Ovis aries: one gene and its partners. The main gene of each other region encodes a partner of the protein of the gene in region 3 in a complex. Links are inferred from orthologs where the notes say so. Each region holds a gene or a part of one and is shown on either strand. Other genes may lie near its edges.

Region 1 (4,067 bases), on a different chromosome or scaffold from region 3:
ACCACAAGTTGCCATATCAAATATTTCTATAGTCATAAAATTTACCCATGCATCATGTCTCCCCAAAAAAACCAGATAGAGGGGGAAAAAAAGGAAGAAAATCAAGTGACAGAAGGACATTTTTATTATAGAAAAACATCAATTTGCTATCCTTCAACTCTTTTAGACATATAAAAATCAGAGGTATTATTTTTAAAACAGCAGAGGCTCTAATTAGATAATGTGCATTTAGTTTAATCACTTATGACAAGTTTATAAGACAGTACTATTTTATTCAATTACTACATCAACCTATTTATTCCAGTCAGTGTCCTGCCTTGGGCAATTTTTCCTCTTATAATGATCCTACCCAGAAAAAAGTCCTCCGAATGTGGAGCAAATAAAAAGATCATTCCATTTTGGAAGGATTAATTACTTTTTTTTTTTTGGCCATGTGGCATGTGGGATCTTAATTCCCTGACCAGAGATGGAACCCACAGCCCCTGCACTGCAACTGTGGAGTCTTAACCACTGAACCACTAGGGAAGTTCCAATCAGAATTTTTAAGTATATTTTTTGAATCCAATTTTTACTGGGTGGAAAAGAAGAAATATCTTGTATTTAAAACCTGAGTAGTTGGCCATACTATTTTCCCATTTAAAAAAAAAAGAGGGGGGGGATTCATTTTGAGGTTACACAGACCTGTTGATTCTCCTTATCTCAGATCTGAAACACATTCGTCTCCATGTTACTCACCATTTTCTTTTCTCAGCCTCGAAATGAACTTCTTTGGTGGGATCACGCCGACCTTCTTCTTCTGCGTGGCGATGCTGTGGAAAAGGTCTGCCAGGCATGTCAACAAGTTCTCTTTCTTCTTTTGCTGGGCCTTGTACGCCAGCACATTCTCCCGGAACGGCCGGCAGAAGTACAGGGCTTGGAGAACGGAGTTACAGTAGCATGTGTTTCCGAACTGCCAAAGGACAAGAGGGCCGATTTAAATCAGGGTTCTCTGCAGCAGCGAGGAGAGGGAGGGGCCGCCCTGGTGTGAACTGGCCCAGATCCCCTGTGTCACGGGCTGCATGCCGTGGTAGACCAGCAAGCCAGGCCGAACACCAGTGACTAGCTGATCGCCAGGGAAATGAATCCTAGTATACACAAGCTGGAGAGCTCGCTAGGCTATAAAAGTCTCTATAAAATGATAAGGGACACTCGGCCCTGGTTTTTAAAAATCTAATGAGACTTTCTGGTGCTCAAAAGAGAGGGTGAAGAAAAAAAAAAATCAACATGATATGGAGACATAGAAAAGCAGCTGGCGACACAAAAGACGTCACACTGCAACACATCAAAACTCGTATGACAGGGACAATAAAAACCTCAATCAGAAAGAAATCCAGCTACTAGGAACCGCTTGCTCAGCTGAAACAGCCTTAACTGAGTGGGGACTTGTTTTAAGTTTCTCTCTTTCAAGGGTTTGGCACTCCTGCCACAGGCTTCAGACTAATCGCCTCACTTTCTCCAAAGCAATCTCGTTTCTGCCAAAGTAGCCACTGTCTCAATACAATAGCACATAGGTCCTGGTCTCCTGCCACCGTAACAGGACCCACAGAGTGACACGCTGCACTTCTCAAAAGCCACGGTTATGATTTAACGAGGCAAAAAGTCATCATCTCACTGGTTTTCAACTGACTGGATAACCAGTTCTATGGGAGAACACATAGCGGAGACGTTCATTTTAGAGTTGCTCATATGTGCTAAAATAAAGAGGGAAACCATCTAGGACAATTAGAAGATTAATAGCAGATTAGAAAATGCTGTGTAAGATTGAAATGGAACATGAACACCTTCTCAAGCCTGGTAGCTGGCTTGTGTGTCATCTGCCCAAGAGTGAGGCAGATGCACGGCCATCCTTAACGGGACATTTCTTCGTATGCTGATAGAACACTTCCTATTTTTATACATTTTAATCTACTTTGACACAATTACGTGATGAGACAAACCCCTTTTTAAAGAGAAGCTGTAACTTTCATGAACTACCATTCAAAGTGAACATGTACAAAACTATTATTAGGTTTAGATCTCACAATGCTTCCACAGGCTAGGAGATGGCTTTAGTTCTTTATTCCTCCATAGTCTGCATCCATCTTTTCCCTGGCCAAGGCAGAACTCCCTCAACTTAAATAACTATCCTCATAGAGCTTAAGCAAGAGGCCTTTGCCCAATGCCTAAAACGCTGCATTAAAATTCTAAGTCAGTATTCCATCAACACAGTGCCCTATATGCCAGTACTTTAGCCTCCTCCTCCCATTCTTTTCCTTACTCAGTACCTCACCTTTAGCCAGACACCCTTTAGTAACACTTGGCTCCTGGGAAAGAAAAGGAACTAACATTTACCGAGCGTCACTGTGCCTCAGCCTCATGTCAGGACCTTCAGTAGGAGCTCTCACGGATCCTTCACTATAAGCCAAAGTGTAGAAACCGCTGTGACCCATTTCACAGAAGGGGAAATGGAAGCTCAGAGAGGGCAAGTGACTTGCCCAAGATCACACAGCTAGGGAGCAGCACAGGCAGACTCTGGATTAGGTCTGTACTACTTCAGAGACAATGTCCACTCCATTAGTCCACAGCGGCATTCACTCAGAACACTCAGTAGAGACTATGACCTATGACACCTGAGTTCTGGCAGACCATGCTCAGAGCAGTTGTTCTAGAAAACCTGGTGCTAGTGAGGTAGCAGCTGATGTTATTTACATCCTCCACCCCAGAGAGAAAGGATCAGCTGGAGAAGAAAGCTCATGAGGGTGGTGGGTAATATTGCCTTACTACCCAGCTATCATGAACTTATCCAGGACACAGTGCCGAACAAGTCTGGCTATATACAAGGGGACCGTTGCTGAGCACAAGTGAAATGAGGCCAAGGGATTTAGAGATAAACTGGCCCCAGTCTCCCCCCACTTCCAACCCATGCTTCAGATACCAAATTATGCCACGAAGCAACCACTGGTGATGAGCTCTGGTTGAGCTGATGTATACAATCTGACGAGCACATTCAGATGGTAAAGGGAGGACACACAAAAGCAGATTTTGCTACAAAGGCCAATAATATTGCTCTGAAAGTTAGTGTGCAAAGGAAATCCTTTAAAGCACAGGGGGGAAAATGAGAATCTGACCTAATAATGCACTAATTAAACCTCCTCTTCTGGGGCAACTCATACTTCCAAAAATTGGACTAAATATCCCCTACTCTAGTATTTGCCACCTATGGTAACCAAGGAGTATGACCAATTATTTAAAACTTGGTAATGATGAAAATGGCAGTGACATTGCTTCAAGAATGCTAAAACACCTGATTAAGACAGTACATTTCAAAATACTTACATTGACCAATCCGAAGTAGTGTTCATTGATTGGAAACTGCTCTGGACCAATGTCTTTTTCCAGAGCAGAGGCATTGGTGCCCTGAAAGAGAAAAACAGCAAAAGTTCTGTTGCGTGTAAAACAGACAAGAAAGCAAAAGGATACTTGAGAGAGCCCGCTATTGAGACCAACATTTCCCCTAGTGGCTACAGAGTCTGGAGATGATCATGCTGAAAACAGGTGTCGGAAGTAAACCGTAGATGAGGTAATGAGGTCAGCCTATTCCTGTCCTCACCCAACTTCATCGTCCCTCAAATCTGTTCTACCCAGCTTCAATGACCTTCCATTAGGAAAGCAGGTTTAGGACAGGTAATGAGCAAACTGCCACTCAGAACTTCCAAATAAAATGTTCTAAGCTCAGATACCTGGAGTATATTTTATGCTACTCAGTGGTGTATAGAATCATACCACCAATTTCAAAGTCATGGTGTTTTTCTGATAAAGATTTATCTACTGTGCACCCACCACATGCCAGGCACTGTTCTAGGCTCTGACAACAGAACAGTGGACAAAGGCAGTCTGAAAGAAAAAGCAAGTATACTGGACAGTACATCAGAATGTCGTAAGTGCAGTGGAGAAAAAAAAAAGCTAGAAATGAGGGTAGGGACTCCAGGGAGTAGGGGGAGGAGGGAAGGCATGGAGTGAGGAGGTGTGAAGGGTAGATTGTTGCAGCT
Region 2 (4,067 bases), on a different chromosome or scaffold from region 3:
TTCACTCTCTTGACACTTAAAAATTACAGGTTAGGTATTTTACAGAATGTCCTCCTTTGAGTCCATCTCATGTTTTAATGTAATGAGGTTTAGATTTTGTATTCTGGGCAGGAATCACACAGAGGTGAGGCTGTGTTCTTTTTAAATGGTACACGATTTTGATACGTGTCATGTGTCGGGGCCCCCACGACCGCTCCTGGATTTGATGGTTCCCTAGAAGGACTCATAGGATTCAGCGTCTGTAGTCCTGCTCACAGCTAAGGTTTGTCACAGGGAACAGTGACAGGTCCGATCAGCAAAGGGGAAGCCAAGCCAGCTTCCAAGTGTCCTGTCCCCGTGGAGTCACATGGACACACTTGTTTCTCCAGCATCGAATGTGACAGCATTGTCTCCCAGAGAAGCTCATCACAGACTCGGTGTGGTGCCCGAGATTTACTGGGGGCAGGCCACCTAGGCACTCCCTGCTTGCGTGTGCGTACACGCTCAGTCACGCAGTGTCCGACTCTTTACAGTCCCGTGGACCACAGTCCTCCACACTCCTCTGTCCATGGGGATTCTCCAGGCAAGAATATTGGAGTGGGTTGCTATTCCTCCTCCAGGGGATCTTCCTGACCCAGGGGTCAAACCTGAGTCTCTACGTCTAATGCATCGCAGGGGGATTCTTCACCCGCCAAGCCATCAGGCGTGTACCAAAACTCCAGGCTCCTGCAAGGGAAGCAGGTGTTCAGCATAAACCATATGATCTGCGCAACAAGTTCAGGCACATCAAGACCCTCTTACCAGCTAGGGAACAGCAGGAGTCCCCCCAGATCAAGTTCCCAGATGCCAGCTGAGGGTCAGCCCCACAGCCAGCCTTTCCCAGGATGTCCTGTGACTGCTACCGTTCTCTCTGGTCACTTGACTGAGGTGCTGTCTCCCAGCGTTAAGCTGTGCTTTCTCCCTAGTTGTAACTGATATGCATTTTGTGTGGAGGTATTTTGAGATTATAAATATCCCTGTTTCTCAGTCTCAGTGAGGGCTCAGGGATATTGTATTTGAGGTTATATATTTAATTTCTAGAAATGGAATTATTGAGGAAAAGGACATAAAGACTGTTGGTTCCTGTGGCTGGCTGGTTTTCCAGCAAAGATTGGGTTTTTACATTTCTTTTCATTAGTGTTTTGCACTGGCCAGGTTAGTAAATATTTCTGGGATAATCTGCTGCTCCTCCACATTTAAGATCTGTAGAATGCAGGTTTCGAATAAGGCTATAAAAAAATTTTTTTTCACTTTATTAGAGGCAGTGGCTTAGTAAATTTTTTTTTTAGCATGAGAAGTGTTTTGCTTCACTGAACACATACAGAATTCAGTCCTGCACTGTTTGTCAAGTACCTGCTGTGTGCCAGGCATATTACTGGGTGGTGAAGAAATACAATGAAAGAGATGGTTTCTGTCTGCCCAGAGTCCAGACCCTAGACAGAGAGAGAGACCACAGCCATCTCTGTATTTTGTAGTGTAGCAGACTGTTCCGAGACAGGGTGAGTCTGTAAAGTGCTGGTGGAGGACCGAGGAGAACAGCTGTTTCTGTCGGAAGGGAAAGCGTTGGCGGTGAATTTTGTTAGGAAGAGGCTGCCGTGCGGTGACATCGGGGAGCAGAGATGGCGTGGAGGGGGTCGTCAGGATTGTTGAGGATGAGGCGGCCTGGACTTGACAGGTAGAAACCTCATTCCTGTGTTTCCAGGTTATTGTATTGCCTTTGTGGGATCCGCACAGTCAGAGCTGTTAGTAAGAAGCTGTATCCTGTCTGTGAAACGCCCTGAGTGGCTGGTCTCCATTGCTCTTCTCTCTCTCCTGTTCCCAGTCTGTTCCTGACTTACAGATGAGCAGAACGAATGGATTTCAGTCTCTGCGCACAGCAGCTCTTAGGAACCGGTTTTTCCTCTACCAGACACAGGCGTCGCCTGCAGTCTGCCTGGTCATGAGGGACCTCTGTTTCAGGAGTACAGAGTTCTTAAAGGGCTACACCTCTGTCTGGGAGCCACACGGAGTTCCACGTCATATTATGTGGTTTGGAGATGATGAGGGACAGGGGGCCGTCTTAAGACCATCAGAATGTTGCCCTGCTGATGGTGGAGTGACAGGAGATCGCTGTTCACCCCAGACCATCACAGCATTATGAGTCAGTTCTACCCCAGCACACAAGAAAAGCTTAGAAGAGGCACAGGTAGAGAGAATGCGGAAGTGGGCGGTGCTGGGCTGATAAAACTGACTGTCAGCGGTTATTGAGTCCTGCAGTCTGATAGTTCTTTTAAGGACACGGTGAATGTCTGTTACGAGATTCTGTCTTCATGTTTATCCTGACAGGATGAAAGTGAAAAAGCTGCCCATGATTCTAGCTCTGCATCTGAAAAGATTTAAGTATATGGATCAGCTTCATCGATACACAAAACTTTCTTACCGGGTGGTTTTCCCTTTAGAACTTCGTCTGTTTAACACTTCAGGCGACGCGACCAATCCTGACAGAATGTATGACCTCGTGGCCGTCGTGGTGCACTGTGGAAGGTAACGGGCGTGGGCCATGCAGGCGGGAGGCTTGGGGGCGGGCAGTGCACACAGGACACCCCAGGGCCGCTCAGAGGTGGGCCTGCCAGAGATCCCGTACCCCCGGTGCTCTAGGACCGAGATGAGTTTATTTCAGAATGAGTATTTCAGATCCATTTTACCATCTCCCCCTTAAAGCTTTTATCTGTTAAAATAGTGTGTTATTGCTTGGATCTGATATCTGTTCTTATTATCTAAATAGGAGCTTCTCTCGTAGCTCAGTTGGTAAAGAATCTGCCTGCAGTGCAGGAGTCTCAGGTTCAATTCCTGGGTTGGGACGATCCCATGGGGAAGGGGATGGCAACCCACTCCAGTATTCTTGCCTGGAAAATCCCATGGACAGAGGAGCCTGGTAGGCTACAGTCCATGGGGTTGCAAAGAGTCAGACACAACTTAGTGGCTAAACCACCACCACTGCCATCTAAATATTACTCTGAGAAGTTTTAAGTCCTGTTGGTTTTCTTTTTTGTTTTTCTTGGTTGTTGGTTAAAAAAAAGAAAAAAGATGCTGCTTAAAGAGATTTTATAAAGTGAATTCTTTATTTTTACAAAATAAAGCTGAGACTAGTTGGATATGTTCATCACATTAATAATAATGAAAAATACTTTTAGAAGGCTTTGGAGATAACCTTCAAAGATAAGTTTTCTGATTTTACAAGGCTGTGTGTATGTTTCCTATTGCTAATTTAGTATACTATCTCATCTATAGACCTTAATTTATAAAATAGCTCAAAAAGTTTCTCAGACCACAAGAGCATTGCAGAATCAACATTTATGTTTAGAACATACAGTTTTCATTGACTGTTTACAATTTCCTGTATTAATTTTATTATATATATATACACACACACACATACATACTTTGGCTGTACTGTACAGCTTGTGGGATCTTAGTTCCCTTACCAGGGATTGAACCAGGGCCTAGCCAGTAGAAGTGCAAGTCCTAACCACTGGACCACCAAGAAATTCCCTTCTTGTAATAATTTTAAAACAGGACACTCCTCCATTTCCCCTGGTGTTTGGAAACTTGTACCAACAGTGTATTGTATCCCAGAGAACGAGAACGTTAGCTGTCCCTCCCTCCCACCTTCCTGCTCAGAACATGGTCAAGATAGCTGGGAGGGGGGGGGTCCACGTCTGTCACGGTCCTTAACCTCCATGGTCTGCGTCAGCCCATTTCCTGTCATTTATCCTCAGCAGTAATCTCGCTTTTCCATTTTTGGAGCATTCTGTTTCTAAAGTAAGTAAAGACATCTGAACAGAGGAAAACAGTATCAGATAACTTACAGAACCCTACTGTAATGATCAGACTGGAGGTTCATGTTAGCATTAAGGTTTTTTTTTTAAGTTTAAGATGTTTTCTTCTGCAGGGAAAAAGTACTCTCGTCATATCTTTCTGTCAACAAGATACTCATTTTAACTACGGGATCAAAGATCTGAAGAAACTGGGAGGCAGCTTATTCTCACATCTGAGGTTGCTGCTTTTAA
Region 3 (4,683 bases):
CACATTTTCAACGTAAAATAACATGGTTACAGGAAATTGGGATAAATACATGGGACGCAGAATACATTGTGGCATTTATCAAGACTTCTGATGCCTATTCGACTTTTAGCAGAAAACATAATAACATCAAAACAATTGTAACACAAAATTTTAGGTGTTTTAGGAATCCATTCTTTAAGTAGGGTTTTATTCTAGAGCTTTTCTGCCAACATGCACATCGGATACGGGATGTCAGCGTCAAACGCATTATTACATCAGTGACACCGTCTGCACTGGCATCTGCTTGCTTTGTGATACATAAAATGTTTATGATTTAAACTCCTCTTTACAACTTACCTCCCTCTACTTCTTTTGTGACCCTCCATCTATGATTTGTACTGAGGGAACAGAACATTGTTGGTGTAACAAATGTTGGCCTCGCACTCCAACTCCGCGAAGTCTATTAGAATGTTTATCACTTGAGAAACTCTCTTACTCTAATGCAATATGCTAAGAAACCCAAGGATAAAAGGGTGACGGTTTAATCCGCGTGCCTGCTTTACAATTGAGACCTACTACAGCATATCCTGGAGTAAACCATTCTGCAGATTCCACTTGAGCCTGATAAAAAAATCAAGTCTCCCATTTTCTGGAGAGCTCTTAATAAACTTCGGCGCAAGAGAAGGGAATCTTGCTTCGATTCAGTATCTGGTTCCACAAGTCATTTCCCCGACCCGGCCCGACCCCTCCCCTTTTCTCCAAACACCTGTTGGAGATACACTCAAGAAACAAGCGCGGATACAACCTGCTTTCCTGAAATTAGCCAATGCTCACCACAGATAGGTATGCAGATATTTGACTAGCAAACACAGATGCTACATATCTGTATGTCCTCTCCCCGCCAATCCGTTTAAAAAAAGGGGAAAAAAATAAATAAAGATGAAGCGGCAAGCTGAGGTCCTTCAGTACCTTGTCGGAAACGGACTCTGGGAAGCGCAGAGGGGCTTCCCGACTCGCGCATCCAGACGGTCGCGCGGGGCAGCCTAGCGGAGGCTCAGGACAGGGGGGCCCGCCCCCTGCCAGCCTCGGGGCTCCCCCGCGCCCTCCCCTGGCTCAGAACACTGAGGCTTCCGCGCTTGTTCGCGGCGCCCCACGCGCCGACCGCGACTTGCCGGCTGCCGAAGAGGCTCCCTCCTCAGCCCCTAAAGGTCTCGGGACCTCTCAGGGCAGGGCCCGAGGCAACTGAGGAGGCCGTCCCGAGTTTCCCTCCGCGCCGCCGACCGCAGCCCGGGCGCGGCTTCCGCTAGCCGGTTCAGTCCAGCCAGCCCGTCCGCCCCTCCACCCGCTCGTCGACCCCCGCACGCCCCGCACCAGAACACCTGCGCGGCTCCGAGGTCGCGCGGAGGCGGGGGGAGGAGCCTGCGGACGCCCCGTCGCGTGGAGCGCGCCAGGTGAGCACGCCTGCGCAGTCGGGCCGTAAACAAGCCCGCCCCTTCTCCTCGCCGGCCTCCGCGGGGCCAGCTCGCGGGTGGGAGGGGCCAGAAGGAAGGGGCGGGGGCGTGGGGGGAGGGAGGGAAGAGCGAGAGCCCCGGGACGGCGCCTGCGCAGTGGGCGTGATCCGGGCACTTAGGGCAGGATGAACGCTGCTTTCCAAGATGGCGACGGAGGGAGGAGGGAAGGAGATGAACGAGATTAAGACCCAATTCACCACCCGGGAAGGTCTGTACAAGCTGCTGCCGCACTCGGAGTACAGCCGGCCCAACCGGGTGCCCTTCAACTCGCAGGGCTCTAACCCTGTCCGCGTCTCCTTCGTAAACCTCAACGACCAGTCTGGCAACGGCGACCGCCTCTGCTTCAATGTGGGCCGGGAGCTCTACTTCTATATCTACAAGGGGGTCCGCAAGGTACCGACCGGGGCGCCGGCGGGACTTGGCCCCGGCGTGGGCAGAGGCCGGGGGCAGGGCGGTGACAGCGGGGGGCCGGGGTGGCCGCCGCTCTCACTTTGGAGTGGGCCGGTAACTCCACCGGAGTGCTCCTGAGGAAGGGGGGATTCGGGAGGAGGAGGGCGGCGGGGGCGGTGGCGAGGGGCCGCGGGGTGCGGGGCTCGGCCCGGGAGGCCCCCGGGAGCGTGTGGGGCCGGCTGCCGCCCCTCCGGCAGGGTCTGTCAGGTTTTGACACGGCCGGGGAGCCGGGCCTGCGAGTCCCCGGAAGAGGTGGGGTGGCCGTCTGGTCGCGGCTCGGGCCGCCTCGCCTCCCGGGGAGGGTTGCGAGTCCGGCTCTGAGTGAGAGACCAGGGGCGCCTGGGCGCAGGTCTGTAAGGCGGAACCCGGCCGGGAGGCGGAGGACTCGGTCAGAAATGGACCGGCTCGGCACCAAGGGCCGCCTCACCTGCTGCCGCACCGCCACTCACTAGGAGCCTCTTCGGCTGTTAACACTTGGCCGTTTCCAAAAAAAAGAAAAATCATCCGAGGGAGGCCGGCTGTCACTTGTCTCCGCGGAGGGAACCTTCCTCCTGAGAGATTGTTAAGGTAGGGCTCATCTTGTCCCTTACAGTATGGAAAGGGCTGAGGACCACACTTGGGAGTGGAGGAGATGTTTTCAGTGAACTGAGCTGGTTCCTAGGGATGCTGTATGAGCGTGCCCAGATCCATCCTCGTCCAACAAGTCAGACTGTATGTGCCTAGCAAGGGAGGGTATGCCTTAAAAGCTGCTTCACAAGAACCATTATTCTGGGCGGGCGATTTTAACAGTAATTCTCGCAAGCATGTAATCATCCTCTTAAAGTATCTCTTTGAAAGAAGCAACTTATTAGAACTTTTCTTTCATTGGCTACATAACTGTGTTCTCATTGAGAACTGCTTACTTTCGAGATACGCCATCTGGGAGTTGACTCTTGGAAAAATGAGGAAATTAATGCCCCTGCCGTCCCCGCCAGCACCTGGGCGTGGGAAAAGGTGTTAACAGATTAATTTATAAATGGTCAGTTAGTGTGAAAATAAATTGTATGTATTGAAGGGTGAACGTTTCCCCGGATATACTGTATCCAGAAGCAGTGGGTTTTTGCTTGGTTACAAGATCTAGGAATGTGGCAGTGGTATCTCGGTGGAGCAGGTTGTCTCATTTGTTCCAGGTGAGCCTGCCTGTTAGTGTTTGCGCTAAGTGTACTTCTGTGTTTGAGGTATCCTGTTATAAATTACTGGAGGTAAATCGCTTGACTTTGTTCTCTTGTAGAATTGGAGAAGTCTGAAGTAGTTAGTAGTCTAGGAGTTGAAGTTTTTAGTCCTGCCCTCAACTTTGTCACTGACTTGTTGGGTGACCTTTGACGAGTTACTTAACTTCCATCTGCAGCTCTTTAAAAGAGTATTTCAGTACAGCTGTTGTGATTTTTAGTGTTATGACTATAATGAACTTTAAAGGCCCGAAACATTCAGTAGATGTAAAATACAGTTCAAATAAGTGTCAAGAGCATCTGTCAAACAGGAGCGTTTATCTTAACATTGATGCAGTGACTGAAAGGATCAGCTTTTTCTCTGAAAATAAGTTTAGAATTTTAAGTTATTAAATTGATTTACAAAAAATTTTTTAAGTGCCTAAAAGCTAAATATATTAAGTTACTAGTGTAGACATTACCTTAAAAAATTTTTTTTTTCTTTTAAAGTATACTATTTCTGAAGCATTCTAGTGGCAAGCTGTATCTGTACCTGGTAGCTCTGGTTTGCATCATAAAAATAGGTCTCTTGCCTGGAAGTATCATAATGGTGCCTACTTGTAGTCCTGCTCAATGAAGGATGAATTAGGAGATCTTTTCAAAACTACACAAAAAATTATTTTAAACAAGACAAATCTTAAACATGTAAATTTGCCTTCAGCTGTGTAATTTACTTGAGCACATTAACTTTTCTGTAAAATTTCATTTTCATGTGGTAATATCTTATAGATACATTTGCATTATATGTTGGACATTTAAGCTCTTTTCTGGCCACTGTAATTTTTTTTAAAAAGCATGTCCATGAATGAGTTTGCATTTATTTTTATTTCTGAGTATAAGTGATTGTTTTTATGACTCTGTTTCTGATTTTAAAATATGGCAGATTCTTTTCCTTAATTAAAAACCTTAATTAAAGGTGGATTAAACCTTAATTTAAAAACTTCAGATTTTACTTTTTGGGGTTAGGAGTTATAAATCTGTTTTTGACATTTCGTTGTTTTGACTCTTTAAAAATTTTTTCTTTGGGGCATATAAAGTTTTACAACAGTTAATCAGATCATTTACATAATTTAGAAGATTTAAATTGGATGAATACATTCAACTTAAATCTGACTGGATCTTTTATGTTATTAAAGTATAGTTGGTTTATAGTATAATATTAGTTTCAGGTGTAAGGCGTAGTGATTCAGTATTTTTACAGATGATGCTCCATTAAAAGTATAAGATAATGGCTGTAATTCCCTGTGCCATACAGTATATTCTTGTTTCCTGTTTATTTTATGCATCGTTTGTATCTCTCATCCTGTACCCATAACTCGCTCCTTCCACCTTCCCTCTTCCCTTTGGTAACTGCTAGTTTGTTTTATCTGTGAGTCTGTTTATGTTTTACATAGATGTTTGTTTGTATTATTTTTTAGATTCCACATATAATATGTGATGTCATACAACATTTGTCTCTTTCTGACTTACGTCAACAAGTGTAATATTCCCTAGGT

Evidence for each region. Proteins that work in one complex are often made in the same cells at the same time.
Region 1: the proteins of WDR20 (region 3) and USP46 are in contact, whole or in part, in a crystal structure (PDB 6JLQ), measured with the Homo sapiens proteins. The link is inferred for Ovis aries from reciprocal best matches to the Homo sapiens genes WDR20 and USP46. Residues at the interface, in NP_653175.2 of Homo sapiens: Asn41, Ser42, Gly44, Arg151, Lys259, Tyr261, Phe262, Gly263, Glu282, Asp283, Asp284, Leu285, His301, Lys304, Ser305, Trp306, Gln374, Asp375, Thr376, Leu509, Arg516, Met517, His533, Glu534, Arg535; in NP_073743.2 of Homo sapiens: Asn205, Thr206, Ser207, Thr209, His210, Arg213, Arg273, Val275, Phe276, Pro277, Glu279, Leu280, Arg281, Phe283, Asp293, Met295, Gln338, Glu342, Tyr344, Thr347, Ser348.
Region 2: the proteins of WDR20 (region 3) and USP12 are in contact, whole or in part, in a crystal structure (PDB 5K1C), measured with the Homo sapiens proteins. The link is inferred for Ovis aries from reciprocal best matches to the Homo sapiens genes WDR20 and USP12. Residues at the interface, in NP_653175.2 of Homo sapiens: Asn41, Ser42, Gly44, Ser45, Arg151, Ser170, Lys259, Ser260, Tyr261, Phe262, Gly263, Glu282, Asp283, Asp284, Leu285, His301, Lys304, Ser305, Trp306, Gln374, Asp375, Thr376, Arg516, Met517, His533, Glu534, Arg535; in NP_872294.2 of Homo sapiens: Glu207, Asn209, Thr210, Ser211, Thr213, His214, Arg217, Arg277, Val279, Phe280, Pro281, Leu282, Glu283, Leu284, Arg285, Phe287, Asp297, Met299, Gln342, Glu345, Tyr348, Thr351, Ser352.

The regions. Positions count from the first base shown.
Region 1 is NC_056059.1:69,023,361-69,027,427, forward strand, and holds part of USP46 (ubiquitin carboxyl-terminal hydrolase 46), read right to left. Parts: intron 3,436-4,067; coding exon 3,355-3,435; intron 950-3,354; coding exon 736-949; intron 1-735. UniProt on the Homo sapiens protein: Deubiquitinating enzyme that plays a role in behavior, possibly by regulating GABA action. May act by mediating the deubiquitination of GAD1/GAD67.
Region 2 is NC_056063.1:32,987,394-32,991,460, forward strand, and holds part of USP12 (ubiquitin carboxyl-terminal hydrolase 12), read left to right. Parts: intron 1-2,343; coding exon 2,344-2,541; intron 2,542-4,067. UniProt on the Homo sapiens protein: Deubiquitinating enzyme that plays various roles in the regulation of the immune response and inflammation.
Region 3 is NC_056071.1:64,614,850-64,619,532, forward strand, and holds the start of WDR20 (WD repeat-containing protein 20), read left to right. Parts: upstream 1-1,612; 5' UTR 1,613-1,634; coding exon 1,635-1,883; intron 1,884-4,683. UniProt on the Homo sapiens protein: Regulator of deubiquitinating complexes. Activates deubiquitinating activity of complexes containing USP12. Anchors at the base of the ubiquitin-contacting loop of USP12 and remotely modulates the catalytic center of the enzyme.